Linked DNA regions of Mus musculus: all the other regions are reported to be linked to region 7. The links are microRNA targets in miRTarBase. Many come from high-throughput screens and were not tested one by one. Region 7 holds a microRNA gene; each other region holds the end of a gene's coding sequence.

Region 1 (4,066 bases), not on the chromosome of region 7:
ACACAGAGAAACCCTGTCTCGAAAAACCAAAAAAAAAAAGACCACTAAATGCTGTCACAGTTTATTACAGTTTTTACTAACAAAATCATGTTAAAATACTTCTAGCTTAATTTGATAAGCCTTGTTAGAGTTACTGAAGGGATCTCTCTATATTTATTTTTCATGAAATATAATTTTAAAATGCTTTGTGTGGAGTATGGAAAATTGGCTTCCTAATGAATAAAGTTCCAAAGTACAAAATTGTTTGTAATGTGTACAAATCACGTGACGTGTAAAGAATGAGTTTGACTGTGACTGAATTAAGTATGCTGTCAGCCATGGGGTTTCATCTGCATGGTTGTACTCAACTGGAGGGACCAACATGGGGTTTCATCTGTATGGTTGTGCTCAACTGGAGGGACCAACTGTTTTTAGATGTCTCTGTTTCATAGATGACCTTTAAAAATATAATATGACATTTGTGTCTGTTTTAAACTTCTGCAGCTTCTACCGAAACTAAGATTGATGTGGCTGCTATCAAGGAAAAGGTTAAGAAAGCAAAGACGAAGAAACTGGGCGCTCTTACAGCGGAGGAAGTTAAGCTCAAGATGGAGGCTGACGAAAAGAAGCAGAAGAGAAAAAAGTAGCATTGGGAAAAAATCCCGAACTTTCTAAGGTGTTTCCTTTTGTAAAGGATTTTGAGATGCGAAGGTTTTAGCTGAGTCAGACTCAGGAAATCATGACCAGTTTCCTTCTGTTTGTGGCCGTATGCTCTGTAAATATAAATACGTAGGAGGTAGATGCCTACGTGTACATTGTGCCCAACTGGTTCCAGGCAAGTTTTGCCTAGCTGTTTTAGGAATATCTGTTATTTTAAATTATATAGATTTTTGGAATGAGTCATCAAATCCAATGTTTGTTGCCATTGGTTGGTCTTCATAATACTCAGAACATTTGGTTTTGAGGAAAATACGTGCAAAATTTCCACTTAATTTCTTTTATTATTTTACTCCAGGATTTAAAAAACAACAACAGAAAATCCAAGGCCTCTAAATCAAATCTGTCACTGTTCTGAGTGAGGAAATGGTACCAGGAAAATGTATATGGGTATCTTACCCTGCAGTAAGCATGTGGGTCCCTTCTCCCACTGAGGCCAGAGGAGGGCATAGACTCCACTGGAACTAGAGGTGTAGGTGGTAGTGAGACAGTGTGGGGACTGGATATCAGACACTGGGCTTTGCAAGAGCAGCAAGAATTCTTGAGGGCAATTGGATTTAGAATTATCAACATGAGTATTACAGATCTGGAAATCTGAGATTTCCTGGGCGTGCGTTACTCGCTGCAGTCCTTGCTATGGCAACCTGGTCAGTCTGTATTCGTAATGCCGAAAGACAAGTTAACTCTGTAGACTTAGAAGAAATTCTTTTGACTGAGATTTTATTGAAAAGTTTTTAAATAGCCGCATGTGATTCAGTTGTCCCCCAACCACAGCTTTAGTCCAAAAGAACCAAGTTAGGATATTTGTGCTTTACCCAGATGGTAATTATAACAGACAGTAATAGGAGAACCGACTTAGCAATGAGAAAGAGAGATGTGTATCTGTTACGCAGGTATATAGGCCAGTCTGGATAATCGACAGAGTAGTAACCTGTGAAACGAAGAAGAGTGGACTCAGTTTCCCATGCTGTGCTAACCCAGCCTGCATAGTGCCCCGGGAAAACAGCTTAAGGTTTGCATACATACGTGAGACCTGGTCTCGTCGTGGGTTAACTGTAAAACCAGAATTAAGAAAAAGTTAGGTGTAGGGGAAGCTGTGTTTCTAATTCTTTACAACCGTGACCTTGATTTGGCTTTAAGTACAATGATTTTCAAAGATCAGTCCAGTTTTGGCTGCAGTATCAATAAGATATTTTTCAGTCTTTTTATATGAACTTGATATGTAAATTTTTGTACAAAAGACATATTACCAGGATGATTGAAAAAAAACATGCCACAACTACCAGATGAATCTGGTTTTGAGCTATGGTTGAAACTAAAGATTAAAATATGATTTGTAAATAATGCAATTAAAGTATTTCTTTTAATTAAAGTAGTTTGTTTATGATGAAGGAGGTAGCAGTTTCTCATCCAACCCAGCAGGACACCAAAGTCTCAGCCGGGTATCTGGCTTATCAGATGATGTCTCCCCCTCCCTTCTAAGCAGCCCTACCCAGCCTGGCTTCTGTGAGCCAGGCTGCTACAGAGGTGGCAGCAAAGAACCATGGGATTGGCAGAGCTGCAGTCGCTTTTGCTCCCTTCACACTGTGGAAAAATCAGACTTCTTAAGGGCAGTCTGTTAAACTTTCCCTGCGGCCTCAGCTCTGCCTAGTGTGGCTTACCTACCAGTGTGGAGAGACACAAGACCCCCAGGTCTGGAGCATTAGCTCCAAACTTCTGCCCATGCATCCTTTCTTTGTGCCTAGTATGTTGAGCTGGCTTCTGGGTCTTACCACGGCCAGCTCAAAACACATGCTCATACCTTAATTTTATGGAAAGTTTTTATTATCGTACTTACTGCAGAGACTGTTGAGACACTTGTCATCTTTTGGGCAATCACTGCACGTGGCTCCTTGCTTATATGGCCACGTTGGGTAATTTCCTCTGGAAAGCAGAAGACCGTTAGTACAGGGGCCAATGAGTGTCACGTGAATCCTGTGTTTATGAACTTTAATTTATACTGTCACATTTATGAGGAGTCTTAAGGAGGAATTATTTTTGTTTCTGTTAAACAGGTAAGGAAACTAAAGATCTTAGAGATTAATAATTTGCCAAGATGTCAGTTTATATGAGTGAACCAGGAAAGAAAAAAAATCTAGAAATGTCTTATGTTGGGCTCTTTCTACTTAACCCATTGCATATGTGATAACTTCCACCCATACACTGCCTATCCTAGAAAGGCTATTACACTTTGTAGGTGTTTTCTGTGTACCAGGCCATCGTGGATTTTACTAGATACACCGTTCGGCTGGGGTAATGACCTCCAGAAGAAAAAAGAAAATTAGGAAAAACTTATTTGTATGTAAATGTGATAATAACTGATAACTATTATCTAATCAAATATCTTAGGGATAGAGAGAACTCAGTAATTGATCTCTTTAACATGTTTGGACTTTTTCCTATGCATCCTTTGAGGATAACTTAGTTTCATCCATGCTAGGCAAATGTTCTATCAATGTACCACATTCCCTAGCCCCAACCCCCAAAAAGCAACTTACTCTGAAACCAAAAGACAGTAGAAGATACAGGCATATACATACATACATACATATGTATAAATGTTCATACATGCATGCATGTAGGGCCGGGAATGAAATATAGTATAGTGTCTTTCATTGTTAAAAAGCACAACACTCCATAAGCAGCCTAAGTTGTAGAATGGTTGTGATTAAATCACTATTATCTTATTTTTTTAATTGTCCATTCCACACTAAAAGAGAAGGGGGAAAATGTCACTTAAAATTGGTAGATTTGGCCAGGCGGTGGTGGCGCACACCTTTAATCCCAGCACTTGGGAGGCAGAGGCAGGTGGATTTCTGAGTTCGAGGCCAGCCTGGTCTACAGAGTGAGTTCTAGGACAGCCAGGGCTACACAGAGAAGCCCTGTCTCGAAAAACCAAAAAAAAAAAAAAAAAAAAAATTGGTAGATTTGTTTTGGGGCAAACATGAAACAAGGAAGACCTGGGCTGGTTTGGGTGAATTTCCTTAAGACAGAGAGACTTTACTGTGCTCTGCCGAATCAAGCAGAATAGTTTTGAATTTGTTCTAGAAACCCTGTGAGGGGGCGGGGCGTGAGAGGGTTGGGAGCCTGGGAAAGAGGGAAGACACAGAATATGAGCAAAGGTCCCCAAGGGGATGGCCTAAGGTGGCAGTGCCCAAAGAACACTGGGCACACTCAGGGCCGAAGCTTAACTCCCCTGTTCTGAGAGCCCTGGAGTCATGGGTTAGAACATGTTTATAGAGTATCCCCCATCCACACACTGAAACTGACCACATATTAGGACACAAACAACTCTCAAGAAACAGGAAAAACTGAAATAACATTCACCCTG
Region 2 (4,066 bases), not on the chromosome of region 7:
CTGGGATTACAGGCAAAGCACAGCACTCTGCTCAGTCCCGACTCCGTCTCCTGAAGTCTTTGCTTCCCCATGCTCATCTTCCTGTACCCTTCGAAGGGGCTTGTGAGAAATGAAGAGACCAACGGGTTGGTGGGAAGGAAGGAGGACCAGGAGGATCAGGGCGACAGGATACCATGCAGAGTCAACGGCGTTTCTTGGGATTTGTTTCATTGTTGCTTCCTCAAACTCAGAGCTTGTTTTTTGCAAAGCTTGTTCAAAGAACCATGCTTTCTCAGGGAGTGAGGGTGCCTGGGTCTCCTCCTAGGTTTCACACAATTAACTGTTTACCCGAAGTGACCCAATCTGGATGAAGGGCAGGGTCACCCAAACCCTTCCAGCTTCAACAGAAACCACACTTTCTGGCAAAGATGACACTTTACCCTACTGTGTGTGTGTGTGTGTGTGATTTGCTTTTTTTGTTTTGAGGTAAGGTCTCACTCAAGTTGCGCTTGCTGACCTCAAGCTCAATATGTAGCAGAAGATGATCTTGAATGTCTTTTTTTTTCCTTTTTTATTAAATATTTTCTTTATTTACATTTCAAATGCTATCCCGAAAGTTCCCTGTACCCTCCCCCCCGCCCTGCTCCCCTACCCACGCACTCCCACTTCTTGGCCCTGGCATTCCTCTGTACTAGGGCATATAAAGTTTGCAAGACCAAGGGGCCTCTCTTCCCAGTGATGGCCGACTAGGCCATCTTCTGCTACATATGCAGCTAGAGACACGAGCTCTAGGGGTACTGGTTAGTTCATATTGTTGTTCCACCTATAGGGTTGCAGATCCCTTCAGCTCCTTGGGTGCTTTCTCTAGCTCCTCCAGACCTTGAACTTCTGAAGGTCCTGCGTCTACCTCTTAGGTTTATAAGTGTGCACCTCACACTGGCTCGTGCAGTGCTAAGGACCAAGTCCAGGGCCTCGTGAATGCTGTGTAAGTACCCTAACAGCTGAGCTCGGTGTTTTCAGCTTTTACCCCAGCCTCATAGTAATGGACAGAGTTTTCTTTTTGTAAATCACCTACGCTGGACATGGTGGTATGTACTTTTAATCCCAGTATTCAGAAGCAGGGGGATTTCTGTGAGTCTGAGATCAGTCTTGTCTATCTAGTGCGTTGCAGGACAGCCAATGTTCTATTGTGAGATGCCATCTCAAAAAATAAGTCCCTCCCTGAAAATAGCCCATGTAAAGAGCAGGAAGGGGAATGTTTTGGGTTAAATCAGTGGGACTTGGGGCCCAAAGAACCTCAACAAGAGTTCCTCTGCCGTTTCTCTGAGGACTACAAGAACTATGTCAGGGTAGAGGGTGGAGCTCTGTGGTAAAGGACTGTCTGATCTGTGCAAGGCTCTGGGTTTAACCATCAGCTCCACAAAAAAAGAAGAAAATAGTTACTATAAAGTCTGTGTGCTCCCTTCCCTAGTAAGCTTGCTTTTCTAAAAAAAAAAAAAAAAAAAAAAAAAAAAAGGAAAGGAAAGAAAGAAAAACCCAGCCAGGCTTTCTCACAAAAGTGTTCTCTAGAAGAAATGGATCCTGTAGTAGCTGATCTAGAAAAATTACCCAGAGTTTTGTCATTAGAGACACTTTAAGCTTTAGGGTTGAACTACTACTTTTCCCATCTTACCATTATTTCTGAGGGATCCAATAACATACGGAACAGCAGGACCCTAATTAACTGAAATCCCTACTGTCTCAGATGTGGGGGTAGGGGTGGGTGGCCATATGCCAGCCATCCCCCACCCAAGCCTTCCACCCTTGGCTGTGGTTCACCAGCGACAGGGGAGCTTCCTCTTTAGAATTCAGTTCCTTTTCATTTCTCTTGCTCAGAAAGGAGGAAAGAATGCCACAAGAGGGTGTGGGGGAGGGGCCAGAAGTGGAGAAGAGGGGGAAAAAGCCTCTTTCACAATAGGATATGTGCCTGAGATGATTGGATGATTATATCCTGGAGTTACTTCATTGATTTTTTGTTTTGTTTTGCTTTTTTTTTTGTTTTTGTTTTTGTTTTTTCGAGACAGGGTTTCTCTGTGTTCCCCTGGCTGTCCTGGAACTCACTTTGTAGACAAGGCTGGCCTCGAACTCAGAATTCCACCTGCTTCTGCCTCCCTAGTGCTGGGATTAAAGGCATGAGCCATCACTGCCCGGCTAGGTTCATTGATTCTTACTTAATCTAAAAGAACAAGATTAGAAGGCTCAGTGGGATAGCTAGCACAAGCCTTTAATTCCAGTACTCTGATGGAGCTCTGTACTTGAGGGCAGCCTGGGCTATATAGTGAGTTCCAGGCCAGGCAGAAAACAAAGCAAAACTCCCAAACAACCAACCAACCCCCAAACTGGAGAGGACCAGATTATCCACCCCTGGGATGGAAGTCCCAGTATACCTGGGTGCTATCCTTGTCCTTGGCTGTGAGAGTCTCTGTCGAACTGTTTTGCTGCCTTAAGTCAGAAACAGGTGACTTCTTTCCCACTGATAAACTGAAAAATAACTTTATGGACTGGATGTATAGCTCAGCGGTAGAGTGTTTTGTTTGCCTAGTGAGTGAGGCCCAGGCACCATGAATAAATAACAAACAAAACTTCAGGGTAGATTTTTGAATCTTAACAACACACGGATCTCCATGTCCAGCTATCAAAATGATTTGTAAAGGCTTAATCCAACCCAAGCCATGTAAGTCATCCTGGGAGCTATGGCTTATTGTTCTTGGGCCTTCAGCATTCTTCCTCAAAACCAAATGCCCACTTAGTGGCTGAGTGAACAGATTCGGAAAACAGGCTTCTGTCTTTTGAATAATTGAGCAGACAAAGCTGTAATGTGAGACACTCAGAAATAGTTGGATTGCCTTCACTAAGCCCTCGGGTTTTCTCCGCTCCGCTCCCAGACCTCTTGCCTGGCTGTGGAAAGGGAGAAGAAGCTAGTACCAGAAGAAAACTGATCAGAGACTATTGTGACGGTTGCCACCCTTCCCACTGACTGTGAGAAAGCCCACCCTTCAGGAGGAACGCATCTGGCTGGCTGCGGCTCTCTGGAGGAAGCTCCAGGATCAGAACTGAAGGTGTGTGTGTATCTGGCCTAACCTGGCTACCACAACCATGACCTAACGGAACCCTTAGACCCTGGGCAATAGCACCTCTTACTCCTAAAATAACTTTTAGGAGATGAGCTGTACCAGCTTGAGAGCCTGGCCTAGATCAGAGCTTCCATCTACCATGAGAGGCAGGGACAGACACACACATTCTACCCTTGCTAGCTCTTTCCACCCTGGCCTCAGCCCAGCATCTCCTGCCTCTGCTGGCTTCTCAGCCAGGGGAGAGCTAGGCAACCGACAGCCTGCTTCCCCAGCTGCTGATATGCAAGTCAGAGCAGAACCACAACCGCAGAGCACATGAGGGAAATGGGACAGAGACACAAACATCCTGTCCTTTCTGTACCAAGTGGCTCCAGCTCGAGACATAGAGTCACCAAGATGATATTTATGTGGGACAGAACCACCCATTGACTCTCACAAGTTCATCCTGCCTGGACTCCCAGCTGGGTGAGCCGGAATTTCTCTCTGGTCTATGGACTTCGCCAGGGCTGCTATTCTGCTTGGGACTTTGATGACAGGAAATAGTGGCCCAGGGCTGAGCAATGTTTCTTAGAGCCAGGGCAACTCTTCTCAAGGTAGCGTAGCACAGGGTGAAGTTCTTTCTCCAGTTAGCAAGAGAGGAACACAGAGGCCCCCCCTCGCTGTGATACCTTGTGGGGGTCTTTCTCACAAGTCCAAGGGGCTTCCCCAGGCGAGCCTCACCTGGTGTATGAACGCTTCCAGTTGAAAATCTCCTCCAGATTGGAAGAAGGGGAAACCTCTCGCTTCTGCAGGCCTCCCCAGCGACGCCGGCCCCCTAAAAATGAAGTCCTGCGCCTGCTCAGCCCTTTCATTCTCTCTTCCATTCGGAAGAATTCAGTCAGGGCCCTGAAGGACTCCAAGATGACCTCGTGGCTCCATGCTGGCAAGGGTTCAGGGCGCAGGAAGCCACAGTGGCCTCCATGGTGACTGAGCAG
Region 3 (4,066 bases), not on the chromosome of region 7:
CTGTGCTGCTAAAAGGCAGCCAGGAAGTGAGGGGTTGGCATAAGAAAGACTATAGATGGTTTTAATGACTCCTGTCTCATATCTGGGGACCCTGGGACATAGGGGACCAGAACTGATCACTGATGGCTTTTTCCACATGTGTTCCTTCAGATGAATGACAATCTACTGGAGAGCTGGAGTGACCTTGATGAGCTGAAGGGTGCCAGGAGTCTGGAGACCGTGTACCTGGAGCGCAACCCCCTGCAGAAGGATCCACAATACCGGCGGAAGGTCATGCTGGCCTTACCCTCTGTGCGGCAGATCGACGCCACATACGTCAGGTTCTGAGCCCTCCTTGCTCCTCACCTGGTCCCTCTCCTCAAAAGAACTTCCCAGCCACGGTTTTTTAATCTACCTATTGCTCCTGATGTCGTCACTATACCAACAGTCACAACCCAATGGCAATAATAAGGCACTGGTGGCACCTGGCCTGTGATGCTACACACCATTTGGAGATGCCAACACTATTAAATCTTGCCACGCGGTCTTCCTGGTGAATTGATGAAAGTTATTGTAGCCATGGAGAGAATGCAGGCCTTGTTGCAGTCATTTGCTCTTCCAATCCGTCTATGTCCTTACCTTGGTGGGCATTCTGGGCTGCCCCAGCAGACCTTCAAGTTGGTTTAAGTAGTCATGACTCACAAGAGCACACTGGATAGTCTTTCAGACCAATTTTGGAAAGAAAAAAATTTTCCTTGCAAATTTTAAAAAAGAAAAGATTATATTTAATTTTTTTTTGAGTAAAAGATGGCCCAATGTCTGAAGCTGTAATCCTCAGTGCCCTTCCAACATGAGCGACGGCTGAGCACAGCACACTGGGCACTCTGTGCCCTTATTCCCACTTGGTAAAAGCTGGAATATGGAGAGCTTCGCTCCCTATCACCCAGCTATGTTAAACCTAAGTGATTATCAGAAACGTCCACCCCTGAACTCTTGGCCACTGGGCACTGGTCATGGCTCCTGTTCTCACCCACGTCCTCTGGCCTTATTTAGATGAAGTTTCTATGAGCAAACTCCCAGGGTGTAAGTCTAATGCTGCAAGAGCACTGTCCTCCCCACGCCTCCGACTTCCTCTTTCACACAGTGAGAACTAACTGTGGTCACCAAAGGCCCCTGAGCTTCCAGGGTTCTAGTTCTACGCTGTCCCAGATGGGGCCACTAACTGCCACATGTAGCAATTGCTATTCATATCTAATCCATTGGATTTATTCATCTCTTCATCTGTGCTCACACTTTATCTGCTCAGAGGCCACATATCATGGAAGGTATCCATTCCTATCATCCCAGAAGGTTCTGGAAAATGCTGCTCTAGACTGTTTAGTATTAGTGAAATAGCTTGCTCTGAACTGAGAAGCATGTGCCCAGGTGTCCAAGCTAACCAGTAGGCCAACTGCCCAGGAGTTCGCAATGTCAGAATGGCTACATGAGGTTTAACAAGAAACTGTGTGATCTCAATCTGTGCACCATCTCCCTGACAAGAAATAAGCTCTTAGCAAGGAACACTGGGTGCAGCAAGGTGCAGCCCAGAGAACACTGTGCTGTAACCCTGGAATCGTTCCAAGCACCATTCACGTCAGAATAAGAGAAAAACATCTTAGACCCACAGGACTGAAATGTAGGTGTGCCTGCTGCAGTCACTCACAGGAGCCCTACACACGTGCACGTGGCTTCTACAGAGTGTAGAGAGAGAAGTAATGGAGTGGGAGAACAGGCATCAAAACCCCAGTGCCATCTCAAGGAGGTCCCTGCAGCATTCAGTTGGGGGAAATGTCTCCAAATGAATTGGAATTCTGGAGTTAGGAAAAAATGCCAAAAAATTATTCCTTAAAACAGGTCTAGGTCCCAGGAAGAATTTCCAGAATCTAGCACTGGCTGAGTCCCAGTTGTGATAATAGAAAATGCCCCTAAAAGTCGTCTGCTTGGTTGGTTGGTTTGGTTTGGTTTTTTTCCATACAGGGTTTCTCTGTGTAGCCCTGGCTGTCCTGGAACTCACTCTGTAGACCAGGCTGGCCTCGAACTCAGAAATCCGCCTGCCTCTGCCTCCCAAGTGCTGGGATTAAAGGCATGCGCTACCACCACCTGGCACCCCTAAAAATCTTAACAAATACAGTACAGAAGTAAAAACACTGCTTTTACATAAGAACATAAATGCAAAGGTCTGAAATCAAAGATCAGCAAATCAAAGACTACTGATTCTTCACCAAGAAGGTTTTATCTCAGGAATAAATGCAGGGATGGTTTAAGAGCAGACAGGACTGGCCGGGGTGCAGGCCTGTAATACCAGCCACTCAGGAGGCTGAGGGAAGAGGATGAAAAGTTAAAGCATGCCTTAGCAACAGGGTGAAATTGAGGCCAGCCTGGGCAACGTAATGAAACCCTTTCAAAGAGTAACAATGGGGCTGCGAGGATAGCTGAAGAATAGAATACCTGCCTAGCTTGTAGAGGACCCTGGGTTCAATTCCTAATAAGGGGAAGAAAAGTAAGCAGAACCAGAATTTACATAAATCACCACTTAGTGCAGTAAAAGAAAAAAATACCAATTAATGTTATAAAGATTCAATTGTATATATTCCTGGATTTCTTTTCAAGGAAAAAGCATTATTGTCATTAGCACTATGCATGATGTCTGAATGTGGTTGTGGGCACACGTGTGCTGTGGCACAGCATGTGAACCTCAAAGGGCAGATTTGTAGAGTTGGTTCTCCTTCATGTGAGTTCTGGGAATTGAACTTAGGTTGTCAGGCTTATGCAGCAAGCAATTTCCCTGTTAAACCATCCCATCAGTTCTGTATTCCTGGATTTTTATTTCTTTATAAATAAAAAGATGTCTTAAAGGTTGTAGAATCTGATAGACTTGAGCTGTGGAGAAAAGCCAGTGGGTAAGAACTCCTGCTCTGCAAACCTGAGAACCTGAATTCAAATCCCCATCTCCCACGTAAAAACTGAGCTTGGCTTTTGAGTAAGGTTGCAGTACTATGCATCATTCTAGAAGAAGAACCCAGTTCAGTGGTAAAGTGTGTGCTTAGCATATGAAGGCCCTGATACCCTTGCCAGGGGCTAGGGGGTTAGTGATGGTGAAGGCAGTCTCTCCATTGGGTTACACGCTGTTGTTATTTTTTATTGTCACTGTGATAGAATACCTTGAGGAACCAAGAAGAAGGATTTAGTCTGGCTCATGGCTCAGTGGATGTAGTGCCAGCGGGAGTAGCTTCCCACTGCAACAGTGGGAACTAACATCTAGGGATTGCCTCTCAGTGACCCACTTCCAGCTAGGTTCTATGCCTCAAAGGTTCTACAACCTTCCAAAATAGCACCACCAGCTGAGGACCAAATAGTCAAATGTGTAAGCCCCCGGTTACATTGCATCCAGAAGTAACAGACACACACACACCACAATGCATGCATGAGGGCACACACAACTAAGCCACCATGCTGCATTTCATCAGATCTGAACACCATGAATTGTAAGATACTGGTACTTTATGAACTCTCAGGAAACCCTGCTAATTAGTTGTGCCGTTAGACCTAGCTTTAGCGTGGACCATATGCTCAGTACAGAGATGCTGAAATGTGAAAAATAAAGCAAACTGTATCAATACTAGCAGTAAAAACTGAAAGCAAATAAGATATTGATACAAGGAATGTTTCCAGCAGGCAGGCAACAGATCTGTTATGTAGGTGAAGTAACTGATGAAGGATGGGAACACTTGGATAGAAATTATATTGACTTCCTCCCTAAGGAAGAAAAAGCAATGGGAAGTATTAGCTACCTAACTAAAGAGCCATCATTAAGAAAACGGGTCCCTCTTACCAAAAGCCACATTAAAAACAATCGGTAAAGTAGAAGTTAACCTATGTGTGAAAGATAGTGATCTAATGTATGGAGTATCTACAGTCCAATAAAAAAGGTCAGGCCATCCAGATAGCTTAAAGGGGAAAGGCACTGGCCACCAGTCCTGCTGATCAGAGTTCTATCTCTGAGATCCACGTAGTGAGAGGAGAGAACCAATTCCCAGGAGTTGACCTC
Region 4 (4,066 bases), not on the chromosome of region 7:
GCCCTCCTACCTACCCAGCTCTCCTGCGCTGGGTTTCTACAGCTGTATTGTTCTGCGGCTGTGGTTACTTAACCCCACAGCTTCTGAGCTATGGTAGACTTCACTAACTGTGCACCCTAGAGCAATCCCACTGGGTCTGTTCTAGCTGGGACGAGCATCGTTATCCCCGTATTACTGTTATAAATAGCCACCTAGGAAAATAATAAAGAATGCTTGTTCTCGGCTCCTGTGGTCGGCTCCAGCTTATTGATACTGGTGGTTTTCTTTGTCAACAGAGGGACAGCAGACAGAGCAGTGCCTGCTCCAAGGCCTGCTCCCTGTACCTGATAGGACTTGGGGTGCGGTAGGTCCAGCTTATTCTCTGCCGTGCTAACAGATGCTCTCTGCCTTGCTCTCCAGGCCAACCCTTCACATCTGGGCCCATTTGCTCAACTGGATTTGGTCCCAGAGGAAATGAAATTGCACTTATCCTTTGGCTTCCTGGTGGCAGCTATTGCTTAGCAGAGATTTAGGACCATCCAGAGACCCAGAGTCAGATCCATGGCCATGGGATGAAAGAGCTCATCTAAATCACTGTTTTTCATACATTCAAGAGAAATCAATGTTACCATGTACCTATTGAGTGAGCTCTTTTGTTTCTCTGCTTCTCTTCCCTGCTGGGATTAACTGCCTTCCTTCTTACTCCCCGGCTATGGATCCAGCTCAAAGCGCTTCTTATTTTGCCTTAATCCAGGGCTCAGGCAAATAGGATGTGTCCAAGCCTCACTTGGACAGTAATGCTGCAAAGTGATGCACATTTTAAGCCTGGAGGGTTGAGACTAAACAGGGTGAGACTGGCTGCCTCAGAATAGACACACACACACACACACACACACACGCTGTTATGAAAACACCAGGCTTGGGCCAGGAAGGTTGCTCAATGGGTAAAACTATCTGTGGTGCCAACTTAACAAAAATTCAGTTCCTAGAATCCACACTAGAAGGCAAAATCTGTCCTCTGACCTCGGTCTGAAAGTTGGCTCGTGCACACATTCACACTCAAACACTCCTGCACATTTAATAAATAAATAAATAAATGATAAATAATAACATTGATGAATGGATGATAACATCCCCCACTAAGGCCTCTCCTGTTTGCAGCTTCTCTGAGAAGGCAGGTTTGGAAAAACGACAGGTCATTTATTTCTGACCCAACTCCTGCTTCTTTTACCCTACTCTAGACAGACTAACTCTGACCTGAAGTGACAAAGAAAATTTTAGTCTGGAGAAAAATTAAGTATGAGAACTTAGGCTCTCATTTCTCCTGTGTTGTTGAACCTAGAGCCTCATACACACAGAAACCAAACCAAACCAAACCAAACCAAACCACTCTACCTACTAAGCTGTATCTCCAGCAGGCCGTTTTTAAACAAGAACTCAAAAGCACTATGAAGCAAGCCTGTGGCTGGAAAAGTAAGATTCCCCTTGTCATGCCCAGATCTCCCAGGACACTGAGCATCAACCCCTGACCCTCTTCTCCAAGCAGCCCCAGCAGAACAAGGACTGGGCTGCTGCACTGCACGCTGGCTTGCACTCTGGTCCTGGGCTGGAAGGCATAGCCAGCATCTTTGTGAGGTACAAGAAATCAGAACCGAATCTTACTGATTTCCCCCTAAGAATGAACCCTGGCTTGTCCTTGCTTCCTCCTAAACTTCCTACAGTGTTCTTTTCTCTTTAAGATAGGATCTCACTGGGCTGGAGAGATGGCTCAGTGGTTAAGAGCACTGGCTGTTCTTCTAGAGGTTCTGAGCTTATTTCCCAACAACCACATGGTGGCTCACAACCATCTGTAATGGGATCTGATGCCCTCTTCTGACACACAGATGTACATGCAGTTAGAGCACTCATACATTAAATAAATAAATCTTAAAAAAAAAACTCACTCTATAGCCCTGGCTCTCCTGGAACTCCTCATGTAGACTAGGTCAGCCTTGAACCCATAGATCCACCTGCCTCTGCCTGAGTGCTGGTACTCTTCCTTGGTAGTCTAGTCTAGCTGGGCGGGGACAAGTCCAATACCTAAAAATAAAATGCAGGCTGGGCATGGTAGTTCATACCTTCCATGAGAAGGATCACTGCATGTTTAAGGCAAGCCTGGGCTACATTTATCAAATTTCAGGCCTTCTCTCAAACAAAACAGAATACATAAAAGCTGAAGAACGGTCAGGCTTGTTAGTGCACACCTTTACTTCCAGCACTCAAGAGGCAGAGGCAAGCAGATTCCTCAGTTCAAGGCCAGCCTGGTCCAGGACAGAGGGCTATTACACAGAGAAACTCTGTCTGTGGCAGGGGTGGGAGTGGGGAAGCTAAAGACCAATCCCCCCCACTTTGATTTATATATAAAATAAGATAAAGTAATTTTAAGCTGGGTATGGTGTAGCACTCCTTTAATCTCAGGCAAAGGGGGAGGGAGGATGGGAGGCAGATCTCTATAAGGGAGGCTAGCCTGGTATACAAAGCAAGTTACAGGGATGTTACACAGAGAAACCTGAAGAAAAAAAAATTAAAACATCTATATTAAAGAGATCTTTTAAAGTAGTATTCTGGGATGGAAAGATGGCTCAGTAGCTAAGAATACTTGTTACAGGTTGGAGATGGCTCAGTGGGTAAGAACACTGACTGCTCTTCCAAAGGTCCCGAGTTCAAGTCCCAGGAACCACATGGTGGCTCACAACCATCTGTAATGGGATCCTCTTCTGGTGTGTCTGAAGACAGTGACGGTGCACTCACACACATAAAATAAATACATCTCAAAAAAAAAAAAAAGAATACCTGTTGCTCTTGCAGAAGACACAGATCCAGTTCCTAGCACCTGTGGTGGTTCACAACCATCCGTAACTCTAGTTCCAGGGGATCTGACACCCTCTTTGGACCTCCAAGGGCACCAGCCATGCGTGTAGTACATAAACACAGGTGCAGACAGAACACTCAGGCATATAAGATTAAGTGACTTTTAAACTGTGTGTTGCCAAGGATGGCATCTAGTTCCTGGTCCTCTTCTTGCCCCAACTTCCCACGTGGCAGGACTGTAGCAGGGTGCCCTAGTTTGTAGACACTCTAAGGTCTTCCCATCTAGAGTTCCTGGAAGCCGCATCACTTATAACTATACTGCTTTCCCATGCCTGACATCACAGAACCGCTCCGTCCCAGTCTGAACCAGGGAAAATGTACAGAACACACAGTTTATCCAACTCTTTGACAGTATTTTATTCCAAATGCTGACTCGGCCTATAATTAGAAAAAAGAAAGCTGTGGGTCTGATGCCACAGCTTGCTGCTGCTGGGAAAAGCCCAGTGTCGCGTTTGTTCTCTCTGCTGCTGCTTCTCATTTCACCTCAGAAGCTGAACATGGCTGTAAACAGAAGATGCTCCAAGGCGGGGCACCCCAGCCACCACCTGGCCACACAATCAGCCATGACTGTGAGGGGCTTGGGGGACTGCTGACCCAGGCAGGACAGGAGACAGCACGGGAAGCCTTCGGGGTACAGGTGGGTACAGGTGACTTTGCAGCCCCATCGGAACACCTCAGGAGTCTTTTTGTCTTTTTTCTTTTTGTTTTTTTTTCCTGAGACAGGGTTTCTCTGTGTAGCTCTGGTTGTCCTGCAACTTGCTCTGTAGACCAGACTGGCCTTGAACTCACAGAAATCCACCTGCCTCTGCCTTCTGAGTGCTGGGATTAAAGATGTTCACCACAACTGCTAGGCTCCTCAGGAGTCATTAACGCCATCAGGCTAGCTGAGGCTTCTGGGCCTCCCCTTGAGTCTCTTCGTACTCCTCCCAGGGTTTCAGCTGAGGACCAGGAATCATCAAGGTCTGAAAAGAACAGGAGGAACTCAAGTTACCTACCAATCCCACCTACTGTTTACCCAGGATGTCCTCCTCCCGCAGCAGCATCCAGGGAAAGTTCCCCTTCCCTAGAGCTGCATCACTCCGTCTCGCCACTAGGTGGAGCCTAAGAAGAGCGTTTGAGCTTGACAAGGCTATCTACATACAGCTTCAAGTTTGCTCTTAGAGCGTGCAAGCAGCCT
Region 5 (4,066 bases), not on the chromosome of region 7:
AAAAGTTAATGTCAAATTGTATGGGACAGTAGAAGCAGTCTGCGGCCCAGGCAGATGTGAGTGTAGAAGATGATAAAGTCACATTCCACCTTTAGAGACAATAGGAATAGACCCAGCACTGTATGCTTAGGGTGAGACCTATTAGACCTGACCAAGTCCATGTTCTTGACATCCTGCCAGGATCTCAGACCGGGGTGGAGGAATCGCTCATAAGGACCTGGATCGGGTCATGGACTACCACTTCACCACAGCTGAGGCCAGCACCCAGGACCCCCGAATCAACCCCCTCTTCGGCCACCTGGATATGCACAGTGGTGGCCAGTCAGGACCTATGCATGGGTAAGGCCCCACCTTCCCAATATGGGGGGAAGGGGTAAACCAGGACTCGCAGGCCTCTGACACCCCTATCCTATCCCCTGCTCCCAGCTTTGGCTTCGGGTTGCCCACGTCCAGGGCATATGCAGAGTATCTTGGTGGCTCCCTGCAGCTGCAGTCCCTGCAGGGCATTGGCACGGATGTCTACCTACGGCTCCGCCACATTGATGGTCGGGAGGAAAGCTTCAGAATCTAATGGTGGATTTTGGCCGGCTAGCCTGCCACACTCCTCGGAGGACCTCCTAGGCCTGGCAGGGGGCCGCTGGGCTCCACAGACTGCCACTTCGCTTTATGGAGCTTAGGGCCTCAGACAGGTGGACTTAGATGGAGCTGGGCACCACTCCTCCTCAGCAGGGCTCACTGCTTTCTACCTCCCGGCCTTGGGGGGAGGAAGCAGGTGCCTCTGAGGCCTCTGATACCAGCTCTGCTCTGCTCATTCTTGAGGACTCCTCATTTGACCTGCTGCTTATTAAAGTTTGCATTTTTGAATGCCCTCTTGGGCCCCAAATGTTGGGAGGGCAGGCGAGCTTTGTTTCTGCCCCCTTTGGATTCCCTAGGCCTTGGGAGTTAACCTGGTCATGTCCAGTCTCTGGCTGTCCTGGCACTGTGGCAGAAGTGATTTCAAGGTTCTTGCCTATTTGATTTGGCAAGAGTGAGAGTGACTTTGGCAACTTGGGCTCATTGAACAAGTCTTTCTGGGCCCCAGACGCTATCAGAGGCCCCAAAAGACTTAGCTTCAGGCCCGACTCTTCCCTTCCTGGCAGCCGTGGGTTTGAGAGGTAAAGGTCACTAGACTGGGCAGTCTGTAAGCCACCTGATTCCTGAGCTTGCATGAGGTTAAAAATACTGCCTGCCCACTGTGGCTGCAAAAAGAATTGCATGAGGTTATGCAGAGACCTGATTACCTCAGACAGATACGGAGAAGTTGTCTTAGGGAGGACCAGGGACTTGGGCAGAAAGCACGGTGACCAGAAGTGTGTGGAACAGAACTTTAGGTGAACTTTGAACCAAGAGTAACTCTCCCCGCTGTGTAAGACCTACGGACCTGCTTGGTAGGACTCCCAAAAGGGAGTAGGAGAAGCAGGAAAGGAAAGGGGAGAGGTCAAGGAAATGACTTGTAATGAGAAGTCCAGAGCTAGTCCACTGTCCCTCAGGTACACATAAGAGAGTGAGGCTCCATGGTAACCAGTTCCCTCACTTGACGCTGGGATGGAAGAAATTCCTACACTGAAAACTTTAGCCTTTCCAGGTAGAATCAAATGTACACACTTGTGGTCCTAGTACTAGTGATGCTTACATAGGAGTATCACGAGTTCAAGGCCAACCTGGGCTGCTTGGCAAAACCCTGTCTTAACGGGTAGTTGTCAGAGAAGAGCCTCATGTTCTAGTCTTTGAATGTACATACAGACCGGGGGTGGTGGCACACGCCTTTAATCCCAGCACTTGGGAGGCAGAGGCAGGCGGATTTCTGAGTTCAAGGCCAGCCTGATCTACAGAGTGAGTTCCAGGACAGCCAGGACTATACAGAGAAACCCTGTCTCGAAAAACCAAAAAAAAAAAAAAAAAAAAAAAAGGAATGAAAGTACAGGTTAACCACAGAGAGCAACAACACAGATACAGCATCAGAAGCAACAAAAAGCATCCGGGCCCAGCGACATGGTTCGGCAGTAAAGGCACCTGCCACTAAGGTATCTCCTAGAGTTTATCGCAGGAGAGGACTACGTGAGTCCTGCCAAGTCTTCTCACCTGCACACATGTAGGTTCATACTCATAAACACAATAACAGTAAGTAGAGGGTGTCTCAGCACAGCCCCCAAGTTCTGGAAAAAACAGTTGGATTTACATGTTAATCATGGTTGGCCCTGGCATGGGGACAGCATGGTGTATTTACTATGCCTAGGCTAGTCCTTACTTAGGAAGGACATCATCTGAAGATGTCAGGTGAAGTGTCAAGTGAGGTAGAAGCCTGGGCAAAAGCTGTAATGATCCTGAAGAGGGCTAGAGTGGGAGGTGTCCTTTGGTTGTATCTTCTCATTCTTAGGGTGCCGGGCACCTGGTATTATCCTGCTCTGAACTTCTTTACTGCCCAACAGCAAAGTAACCAGTTTTTCCTAGTGCCTTCTCTCTTATTTTTTGTATGTGTGTCTACCTGTGGGTTTGTGCTCATTGCTGTAGATGGCCTGTGGAGTCCAGAGGGGTTTCGAATCCCCTAGAGCTGGAGTTACAGGCAGTAGTGAGCTGCTTGCTGTGGAAGCAGAGCTGAGATTGTCGACAAGAGCAGTGCATGCCGAATCATCCAGCCAGCTTTCCCTCAGTGCCACACACAAAAGGATCTATTCTATTCCCAATGCCATCTCACATAGATACACAACGGTCAGATATTTCTTGGACCATAGTGTCTGAGTTCTGACCTCAAGCTGCCCCTCTCAAGAACTGTTACGAAAGCCGGGCATGGTGGCACACACCTTTAATCCCAGCACTCGGAAGGCAGAGGCAGGCAGATTTCTGAGTTCGAGGCCAGCCTGGTCTACAGAGTGAGTTCCAGGACAGCCAGGGTTATACAGAGGAGCCCTGTCTCGAAAAACCAAAAAAAAAAAAAAAAAAAAAAAAGAAACCTTATGAAAACTGATCACCAAATTATGAATCAAAGAACTTTCAGAGAATGTCTAAATGAGATGTTTATCCAGCCCTACTCTGACTCAACACACTGTTGTGTGCTACTGTAAAAGTTACCAGTGCATGCTGGGTACGTAAAACCATGTGGCAGGAGCCAGTCAGTCTCAACAATAGAGCGTGAGAAAAGGAGCTTTATTCCAGTAAGCCAGCTAAGGAGGAACTGGCTGGCATTATCATCCCTAAAAAACAAAGGTCTTACAGTGCTGCTTCTTTTCATCGACTAGTTCGCCCACAACGCAGTTCCTAAAGTAGTATGCACTGGGCAAGCTATTAAAGGTGTCCGGTGCCCCAATACAGTAATTAAGGAAAACACGTGTGTGTGTGTGTGTGTGTGTGTGTGTGTGTGTGTAGAAAGGTGAAGTTAAACAGCAAATTAGACATGTGTTACTCCAATTCATCTACCAATAAGTTTACCTTGAATGCTGCTATATAGCTTATATAAAGCTATGACTTAACCATATGTATATATGGTTTAACCTTTACTGAGTCTCAGAGAATTGGTATTCTGTACTTGGAGGAGTGTCACTACAGATTCTCCAGGCACTGTCTCCCTGCTCAAACCCTTCTTGGCTGGAGATGTTCAGTGGTAGTGTTTGCCTAACATTAATGAAGCTTCGGGTACAATCTCTAGCAGTGCATGAACCTGGTGTGGTGCCATCCTAACCTCAACATTTGAAAGGTGGAGGTTAGACAACCACTCAAGGTTCTCCCTGGCCACGCTCGAGGTTTTTTGTTTTTGTTTTTCAAAGATTTATTTATTTATTATATGTAAATACATGTACACTGTAGCTGTTTTTAGACACTCCAGAAGAGGGTGTCACATCTTGTTATGGATGGTTGTGAGCCACCATGGGGTCTTAACTCGGGACCTTCATAAGAGCAGTCAGTGCTCTTAACTGCTGAGCCATCTCTCCAGCCCCGCTACATGAAATTCTTAAGAGAAAAGAAGTTGCCGGGCAGTGGTGGTGCAGGCCTTTAATTCCAGCACATGGGAGGCAGGGGCAGGCAGATTTCT
Region 6 (4,066 bases), not on the chromosome of region 7:
ATGAATGAGTATAACTTCTAATTCATTATCACAACTGAATTTTTAAAATTGCATTATATAATGTGGCTATTTTCTAGGACATGCACTTGATTAAACAGTTGAACAGATAAATTTTAAAATAATTTATAAATAATTGGGCTTTGTTCCCCCCCCCCCCCCCCAGGCATTCTGTGTGTGGCTGACCAGTGTCATGGCTTACGAGAACTGGCCCTGAACTACCATTTGCTAAGTGATGAGTTGTTGCTCGCACTGTCTTCTGAAAAGCATGTTCGCTTAGAACATTTGCGCATTGATGTTGTCAGTGAGAACCCGGGACAGACACACTTCCACACTATCCAGAAGAGCAGCTGGGATGCCTTCATCAAACACTCACCGAAAGTCAACCTAGTGATGTATTTTTTTTTATACGAAGAGGAATTTGACCCATTCTTTCGTTATGAAATACCTGCTACGCATCTTTACTTTGGGAGATCAGTCAGCAAAGATGTGCTTGGCCGTGTGGGCATGACCTGCCCGAGACTAGTGGAACTGGTAGTGTGTGCCAATGGGTTGCGGCCTCTTGATGAAGAGTTAATTCGCATTGCGGAACGTTGCAAAAATTTGTCAGCTATTGGGCTGGGGGAATGTGAAGTCTCATGTAGTGCCTTTGTTGAGTTTGTGAAGATGTGTGGGGGCCGCCTGTCTCAGTTATCCATTATGGAAGAAGTGTTAATTCCTGACCAAAAGTATAGTTTGGAACAAATTCATTGGGAAGTGTCTAAGCATCTTGGCAGGGTATGGTTCCCAGACATGATGCCTACTTGGTAAGGGACTGCATGACACAGGACATAATGAGTGAGTAGTACCTTCATTCAAGAAACGTATTCTAACTAAAAGTTTATCTGCTCTAAAGCTGATACAATGCTACTGTTCTGTGGCACAGAAATTTGATATCTTTGAGCTATGAATGATGTTTGTCAGAAGACTTATAGTTTGGTTCAGATAACTCCTTTTTTGTAGCCTAATAGCAATCATATGTTTAAAAATTAAAAATGTGGTTTCATATTTGAAAGTAATATCCAATTATGAAATTGAGATAATTCAGTCTGAAGGAAGCAACCTGTATATTGTAATATCTCAGAAATGTACTAATAGGTTTTCTGAAATGTTCTCTATGCATTTTTTAAAAAAATGTAAACTTGACATTTTAGGGTCTTCAGTTATAAATACACCTGTTATAAGGTGTTTAACATAGCTCAGGAAAGTGAGCATTTTGTGAGAGAAATGTATGATAGTGCTCGTAAGACCTTGGTTGAATGTTTTCAAACGTTATGAAGCTGTTTTAAAAATAAAGATATAACTATCAAAGTACTTAGAACGTTGATGAATGTTGAAGTGGCTGTTAAGGAGGGCACACAGAGCCAGGATCCAATCTGGAGAGATCCGTGGAGTAGGAGAGGTAGCACTCAGCCTTGTGTAACTCTAGGTTTCTTGTGTGATATGCTAAACACATGCATTCTCTTTTGTTATATTACTAATGTCTGTGGTGCCTGAGGCATCGTGTGTAAAGGAATGCTTTGCTCTCTCTAAGTCTTTATTTAAACTATTAGTAATTATTTAAATTAAAATTTTACTTAAAAACCAAATTGAAATAATTAAAAGTAGAACTTTATAAATTGTTTATGAACAGTTTCATGAAAGGATATTAGTCTCCAGTGAACTTTAGTGATGGCTCATGCTTTAAGTTTGGAATTACATAGCTACAATAAATACAACTTTAAAAATCAAAGAGCATCTGTACAGTTTAGAAACACTAAATTTAAAAGAAGATATATTTCATAATGATTTGCATAAATATTACTCAGTGAACTGGAACATTTTAATAGGAAAATATCTATAGTTTTGTGATTGTCAGTTTGGTTGAAACTGGTATTTTATATTAAGTTATGTAGCTTTTCATATTACTTTAATATGAATAAAGGTAAATTCTAGTCTTTGTAGAATATAAAAATACTAAGTTTTGGTTATATTATAGTTTTGGGTTTTTGGTTTTCATTTTTTTAGATCCTGTATGAGCTTGGATTCTGGGCACTAGTGCTAACAGATGTCTCTCCTGAGAGAAGTTAGTAGTGACTTACCCCACAGGATGCTTCAGAGCCTGAAATGGCTCTTCAGTAGTAGTGGGACTTTTACAAAGTACCTTGATAATTATGGAAGCTAACAGTCTTAAAAATAGATAAACTTACTGAGACTAAAACAGAATGGCTGTCCACACAGTGCATGCTTTTCAAGAGTGGTGGTGTTCTTTCAGGCACGTAGGGATGAGAAGGAAAAGACCGACCCAGAGCTCCACACTAAAGGCAACTATTAGAATATTTCACTCTTAAACAGTAAGAAGCTTTGACTGTACAGGAAATACTTGTGCTGTTTTGTGTTTTGTTTTTCTTTTTAATTTTTTTGAACAACATTGAAAAATGGAGTTGATGGTATATAGTCAGTTTTACTAACCAAAGCTTTATTTGAAAACTTTTGTACAAATTGAATTATATGCTTGAATACTTTAAGTCACTTTATAAGCAAAATGCATAGCACTTAATTTGTTTATACTGTAAAATATATGTTAAATGGTTTTATGAATTTGAGAATAAAGATAGTTACTAATGTGGTTGTATTTTTATAACTTTAGAGAACTAATCAAACATACATTACAAAGCTATGACTTTAGTTTCAGAGCTATTATTTGGTAGTCTTTTAAACACCGGAGGATTTTTAGTCTTTTAAAAAGTAGCTATGGCCGGGCGGTGGTGGCGCACGCCTTTAATCCCAGCACTTGGGAGGCAGAGACAGGCGGATTTCTGAGTTTGAGGCCAGCCTGGTCTACAAAGTGAGTTCCAGGACAGCCAAGACTATACAGAGAAATCCTGTCTCGAAAAACCAAAAAAAAAAAAGTAGCTTGAAGATACAAAACTAGGCACATTAATTCTGTTCTGATGCTCTAATACCTGTGAAACTTACCATGAAATGTAAATTCTTTTATGATTAGAAATAAGGCATAGGTTCTTTATGTATTCAGAATGAACCCCAAGAGTTGAGGAGATGCTCAGGCTAAGCTGGTGAACACTCTTGGCAGTTTTCAGTTGCACGTCCTTCCGGGACTGCTTGTAACTGCAGTCCCAGCAGATCTGTTGCCTTTGACATCCATGGCACCTGCACTCATTTGCATACACATACCTAGACACCCACGCATAATTAAAACAGAAGGATACATATGTTTTAAAAACCATTCTTAGAGTTTCCTAAGCAAGCTTTTATTAGAAATCTTTAACCTAGCAAGCCATATTAGAAATCTGTATTAGAATAGTTTTAAAACAATAGAAATTAATTTATCTTAAATAGGTTTCAGGAAACATCCAATTTGTTGTAATAGGCCTTGCTAAACAATAAATAAGTTACTGCAAACTGTTTGCAAAACTTGTTTATATTTGATGCAATGTTAGCAAAAAGTAAGAAAAGTATGACCTTTTGCCGGCCTTAACCTCTGCTTTAAGGAAAAAAAGCATTTTCTCAGAGAGTAAAAGCTTATCCTTAGAATTAATGATCAGCTCGCCAAAATGCAAATACCTAAATAGTTCCAACAAGGAAGAAACTCTTGGAGGCACTTGGAAGACCATGAAAGGGTAAAAATGTGTTTCTTTTCAAAAGTCAGCCGGGTGTGATGGAACAGACTTTAAAGCTATTTTGAAGGCTAACTTTGCTTCACAGAGTTAAAAATGATCGTGGAATATAATGGTTCAATGGGAGAACTCTTCCCTTCCGTGTGTGTGTGAGCGAGAGAGGAGAGTGTGTGCACGCACACACACACACACACACACACACACACACACCCCTAGGCTCAGTACCACTAGACATAGCACACCTTAGGGAAACTGAAGATGTACTGTTTTTATTAAACACTTTCTATGTAATGTGTTTTGGGTTATTTTCACTCTCCCTTACTCTGCCATCCACTCTGCCAAACTCCCTTCTACTTTCATGCCCCCACCCCCTGGGATCCACTATGTTTAATTAGAGATGCTCTAATGAACTG
Region 7 (4,066 bases):
AAGACCACAAAGCTGGCTGGCACGAAGGACATGGCCACAATGATGAAGATGGCGATGACCACATCTGTGCCCTGCAGTCTAGAAGGGGACAGCACTCAGTTCCAGGAGGTGTCAGGACGAGGTGGTCCTGCCCCTCCTCAACTTGGTCTGCCTCACTCACAGGTAATCCAGGGAGAGGCTAGCACTGGTCTTGTTCATGGGGTGGTTGGTGACGGTGATGCCTGCACACGGGAAAAGGGTAGCTTTAGGTCCATGCAACCATTCGGCTCAGCTGCATCCCTGCCTGTCCTTCAACCCTGATTCTCCTTACCATAGGCTGCTGGATTGCCCTTGCTTTTGGGTAGGTTTGCACGCAGAATGGCATTGTTGAGGCTGTTGAGGTAGGTGGGCATGCTGTGGTAGCCCTTGTTATTGTAGAGCACCTGGGGAGGGGCAAGGACCTCAGAGAGGCTCAGAAACCAAAAGTTATTAGGCTTAGGACCAGGTGCCCAAAACCCAAGGGCAGCCGCCTACCTGAGCCACCCTCCGCACTGCAATCTTCCGCACCATAGGAGGGACCCGGGCACCAAAGGATGCTGGGATAGACTTCTGAACATTACCAAAGGTGATGGCTCCATATCTGTACAAGACAGGTGGGAGGGTCACTGAGGCTCGGCAGCCATCTGCCAGGCACCCCTTGTTCACAGCCACTTCAGGCCAACTTACCGGTGTAGTCGGAAACGGTCAGAGGTGAAGAGCAGGTACTCAGAAACATTGTGGCCAGTGATGTCAGTCAGGATGTCACCTGTGACCACTCTCATCTGGGGTGGGTGTCCACCCACACTGCTGGGGCATGAGAACCCCGTGCCCTGTGCAGAGCAGGTACAGCGGACTGGCTCATGCACTAGGCGTGGCAGAGAAGGCGCCGACGTCCACGTCTCTGTGGGCACAGTGCAGCACAATGAGATGGGTCACTCATGCCTGTGCCCCCCGGAGCCTTCCCTGAGGTAGTACCTGGCCCAGCAGTAGGTGGCAGGGACATGTTCCAGGCTTGCAGTGAATCCTCATCTGGGGACACGGGTGAGTCAGAAGGGGCGGGTGAGGGCGGAGGTGGCACGAAGTTGGACAGTGGCAGCCCCTGTGTGAAGGACTCCAGGCACATACTGTCGAAGAACCGTGCCGCCAGCAGGCGGGACTCTCCACTGCTTAAGTTCAGCATGGGTCCCAGGGAGCCGTTGGCAGGAGACTTGAGCACACAAGTGGCACCCACACCAGAGGGCAGCCGGAATGTGCTCACCAGCTGCTGGGGGCTGGCATCAGGTGACAGCCGTAATCTGAGGACATGACAGTGAGTTAGGAGCCATAAGTCTCAACTCTTGCCCTGCCCTGTGCTACAGCCCCAGCCCACGGCCTCACCGGTACTCCTGGCGTTCCTCATTGGCATAAGGGATAAAGTTGCCACGGGGCTGGGTGTAGTTGTGGTACTGAGAGGGTGACAGGACCAGTGGAGGTAGGTCACCTGATGGGTGAATACGGAGACCTGAGCAGACTGCAGTTATCTGATGCCAGCCCCAGCCCTAACACAGAGAGGGCTGAGCTTGTGGGGATGACTCCTAAGGAGACAGATCCTCTCATGAGCCCCTGAGTAAGGTTCAGAGTGTGAGGAGAGGAGCTCAGGACTGTTCTACAGGGGGCTGGGAGAAAAATGAAGCCAAGACCCAGGGGCAAGACAGTAGCCTCGCCCCAGACCACATGGGCCAGGCACCCTTACCAATCTCAGGGACAGACAACGCCACAGTCATGGCCACACAGACAAAGAAGGCAGGCAGCAGAATCTGAGAGCAGAGAGCTTTGGAGTTCCGACGAGCACAGTGGAAGCGCTTCACCAGGAGCCCATGGAACTGCCGCATCTTCAGCCACCAGCCCTCGAGTTTGCGGCTGCCCTGGCCCACCTGAGCCAGGGCCTCCATCTCTGCCTCTGTGCAGAGAGGCAGAGGTAAATAGCCAGTCCCACGCCACCCTTCTGGACCCTCCCCAGTTTCCCCATTGGCTTCCACCTTGTAAGCTGACATTGTCTGGGTCCTGCAAGTTGTCAAAGAGGGGACGGTAGTCACCGTAGCCATCAGAGTAGCCGGTGCCCTCCTCCCCACGGGCAGAGCCCACAGAGGATGCAGACTGCAGCGATGCCTGTGACTGTGCCAGCTCTGAGCACCGAGCCAGGTTGCCAGCTTGACCCCCCACAGCTGTCAGGCCCTCTGCCCCAGGCAGCACATCCTTCCGGGACTCCTTCACATCTGCAAACAACAGAGGCGGTGAGGGAGGGAAGGCTTGGGCCAAGGCTCTCCTCTCCAGGACATCTTAGTACCTCAGTCCCTAGTGTCCTCCCATAACCCCAGGCCCTGCCTTGATCCCAGCCTCTAATTCACATACCTACTCACAGGTAGGCAGAGCTACCATACCATCCACCACGAGCCTATCCTGACCCCACTTCCAGAGACTTACAGAGAAGCAGTGTCCCCAGGGCCTTCTGTGGGTAGCTGGACAGACCGCCAGCCTTGGGTGCTCTTACCAGCCTCGCTGTTCTCCAGTGACTGATCTTCTTCAGACACCTTGAGGAACACCTCCTCCAGAGTTGTGTCCATCAGCCCAAAACTGCTCAGATGGAGCGCATCCAGGCTGTGTTCCAGTTGCTGCAAAGAGATCGGGTAAGGCAGCGCCACGGAACGCAGGCAGCGACGTGTCCTTCTTCTCTCCGGGCCCCTCGTGTCCCTAGCCACCACAGCCAGCCCCACACACCTGAAAGAGGCGCTCGAAGGCCCCCTTCTTGACGGCCTCGCTGGGCAGGATGTAGGAGAGCTCGGTGCTCGTGTCTGAGACCAGCAGGGAGGAAGCCACATGCTTGCGGATGAACTGGGACACTTGCGGCTCCGAGCAGCTGCTCAGCCGAGGACAACCTGAGGGGCTGGAAGCCAGCCCTGGCTCTGGGAAGGAAGGGGGAGCAGAAGGGGATGCGTGAGAGGCTGAGGAAGAAGGGGCCTTAGTGGGCAAGCAAGTCGAGATGAGGCTTAGAGGTGTCCCAAGTCCCCATGAAGTGAGGGTGAGGTTGCACCTCTCCTAGGTAAGGAATCATGGGGTACGGAGGACCAGAGGCTGGTTCAAGTAGTCTCAGCACAGACCTTGGGAGGTGCCAGGTTCTGCAGGCTGCTTGACCAATGTGAGGCGGTACCCATCGCCATAGGCTCCCTTGAGGAAGAGGGGAGAGCCACAGCATTTGAGCTTCCCATGGGAGATGATGGCAATGCGATCCCCCAGCAGGTCAGCCTCATCCATGTGATGGGTAGACAGGAGGATAGTGCGGCCTGGGGTAGGCCAAACACCAAGGTAAGTGAACAGACAGGGCAGGCCGAGACACCACCCCCGCCACGGCCAGCCCGCTAGCCTGCTCACCCGGCTTGTACTTCAGAATGAGGTCCCAGATGGCACGGCGAGCATAGGGGTCCACGCCAGCCGTGGGCTCGTCTAAGATAATGGCTCTAGAGCCACCCACAAAGGCAATGGCTACCGAAAGCTTGCGCTTCATGCCTCCAGACAACGTCTGCACCAGTGAGTGCCGCTTGTTAGAGAGTTCCAGGTCCTCAATCATCCTGTGGGCCCGACAGGAAGGGGATGGGAGGGGGAGACCAAGGCTGGAAGGCTGACTGGGGAGAGCCCTCATCTCCCCATGTCCTCACCCCTCCCCCTGAATTCCACATGAGCATCCACAGCACCTCCCTCTGCTCATGCCCTTGTGGGACGTAAAACCATGCCAGGAAGTTTGGTGGGTAGAACCGGTTGAGACCCGGGAGAGTAGGTGGGCAGTCACCGGAGATTTAGGCAACTCCCTGCTCTCTGCCAGACTCCTGACTTGGAATACCTGCCATGCTTCTCACATAAAAGAAATGTGTCCTGTGGCCACATAGTAGGACCAAAACAGAGCTCTCCACACTAATGAGACATCTAGAGGCCCAGAGGGCTTAGCCAATAAGCTTCCCTTCCCAGACATTTCTCCCTGCAAACGGTATTTAATCTCGGGTCAGACCCTGAGAGA

Evidence for each region. The annotated mature microRNA mmu-miR-3087-3p reads UAACUCACUGUCAUGUCCUCA and lies in region 7 at 1,315-1,335, opposite strand. An mRNA with a match to its seed (bases 2 to 7 or 8) in the 3' UTR can be bound and repressed. Matches are read on the target gene's strand: a 7mer-m8 pairs with bases 2 to 8, a 7mer-A1 pairs with bases 2 to 7 and ends in A, and an 8mer does both.
Region 1: miRTarBase lists Krr1 as a target of mmu-miR-3087-3p. Seed matches in the 3' UTR shown: 7mer-m8 at 3,581-3,587.
Region 2: miRTarBase lists Abhd15 as a target of mmu-miR-3087-3p. Seed matches in the 3' UTR shown: 7mer-m8 at 2,073-2,079.
Region 3: the mRNA of Ppp1r7 is a reported target of mmu-miR-3087-3p. Seed matches in the 3' UTR shown: 7mer-m8 at 2,750-2,756.
Region 4: the mRNA of Mrpl45 is a reported target of mmu-miR-3087-3p. Seed matches in the 3' UTR shown: 7mer-m8 at 3,672-3,678.
Region 5: miRTarBase lists Bckdk as a target of mmu-miR-3087-3p. Seed matches in the 3' UTR shown: 7mer-m8 at 1,873-1,879.
Region 6: the mRNA of Fbxl3 is a reported target of mmu-miR-3087-3p. Seed matches in the 3' UTR shown: 7mer-m8 at 2,864-2,870.

The regions. Positions count from the first base shown.
Region 1 is chr10:111,984,056-111,988,121 of GRCm38, forward strand. Krr1 (KRR1, small subunit (SSU) processome component, homolog (yeast)) reads left to right here. Exons shown (of 10, transcript NM_178610.4): 10 at 484-4,066. The coding sequence ends at 626. It overlaps Glipr1 (GLI pathogenesis-related 1 (glioma)), which reads right to left. Exons shown (of 6, transcript NM_028608.3): 4 at 2,534-2,619; 5 at 1,723-1,749; 6 at 1,393-1,627. The coding sequence ends at 1,473. Among named protein-coding and RNA genes, the nearest start is that of Glipr1, 11 kb to the right of the region's middle.
Region 2 is chr11:77,518,584-77,522,649 of GRCm38, reverse strand. It overlaps Abhd15 (abhydrolase domain containing 15), which reads right to left. Exons shown (of 2, transcript NM_026185.4): 2 at 2,022-4,066. The coding sequence ends at 3,809. Among named protein-coding and RNA genes, the nearest start is that of Abhd15, 5.5 kb to the right of the region's middle.
Region 3 is chr1:93,364,740-93,368,805 of GRCm38, forward strand. It overlaps Ppp1r7 (protein phosphatase 1, regulatory subunit 7), which reads left to right. Exons shown (of 10, transcript NM_023200.3): 10 at 151-2,877. The coding sequence ends at 327. Among named protein-coding and RNA genes, the nearest start is that of Gm26446, 3.5 kb to the left of the region's middle.
Region 4 is chr11:97,328,267-97,332,332 of GRCm38, reverse strand. It overlaps Mrpl45 (mitochondrial ribosomal protein L45), which reads right to left. Exons shown (of 8, transcript NM_025927.4): 8 at 2,413-3,851. The coding sequence ends at 3,765. Gpr179 (G protein-coupled receptor 179) reads left to right here. Exons shown (of 12, transcript NM_001081220.2): 12 at 1-223. Among named protein-coding and RNA genes, the nearest start is that of Mrpl45, 15 kb to the right of the region's middle.
Region 5 is chr7:127,907,741-127,911,806 of GRCm38, forward strand. Bckdk (branched chain ketoacid dehydrogenase kinase) reads left to right here. Exons shown (of 12, transcript NM_009739.3): 11 at 181-339; 12 at 427-1,924. The coding sequence ends at 571. Among named protein-coding and RNA genes, the nearest start is that of Kat8, 2.7 kb to the right of the region's middle.
Region 6 is chr14:103,079,608-103,083,673 of GRCm38, reverse strand. Fbxl3 (F-box and leucine-rich repeat protein 3) reads left to right here. Exons shown (of 5, transcript NM_015822.3): 5 at 164-3,435. The coding sequence ends at 807. Among named protein-coding and RNA genes, the nearest start is that of Cln5, 11 kb to the right of the region's middle.
Region 7 is chr2:25,440,082-25,444,147 of GRCm38, reverse strand. Mir3087 (microRNA 3087) reads right to left here and starts at 1,369; the gene lies at 1,314-1,369. Abca2 (ATP-binding cassette, sub-family A (ABC1), member 2) reads right to left here. Exons shown (of 49, transcript NM_001368624.1): 23 at 3,427-3,623; 24 at 3,156-3,338; 25 at 2,776-2,960; 26 at 2,549-2,669; 27 at 2,037-2,273; 28 at 1,751-1,957; 29 at 1,396-1,498; 30 at 994-1,313; 31 at 706-919; 32 at 514-619; 33 at 311-422; 34 at 161-221; 35 at 1-78.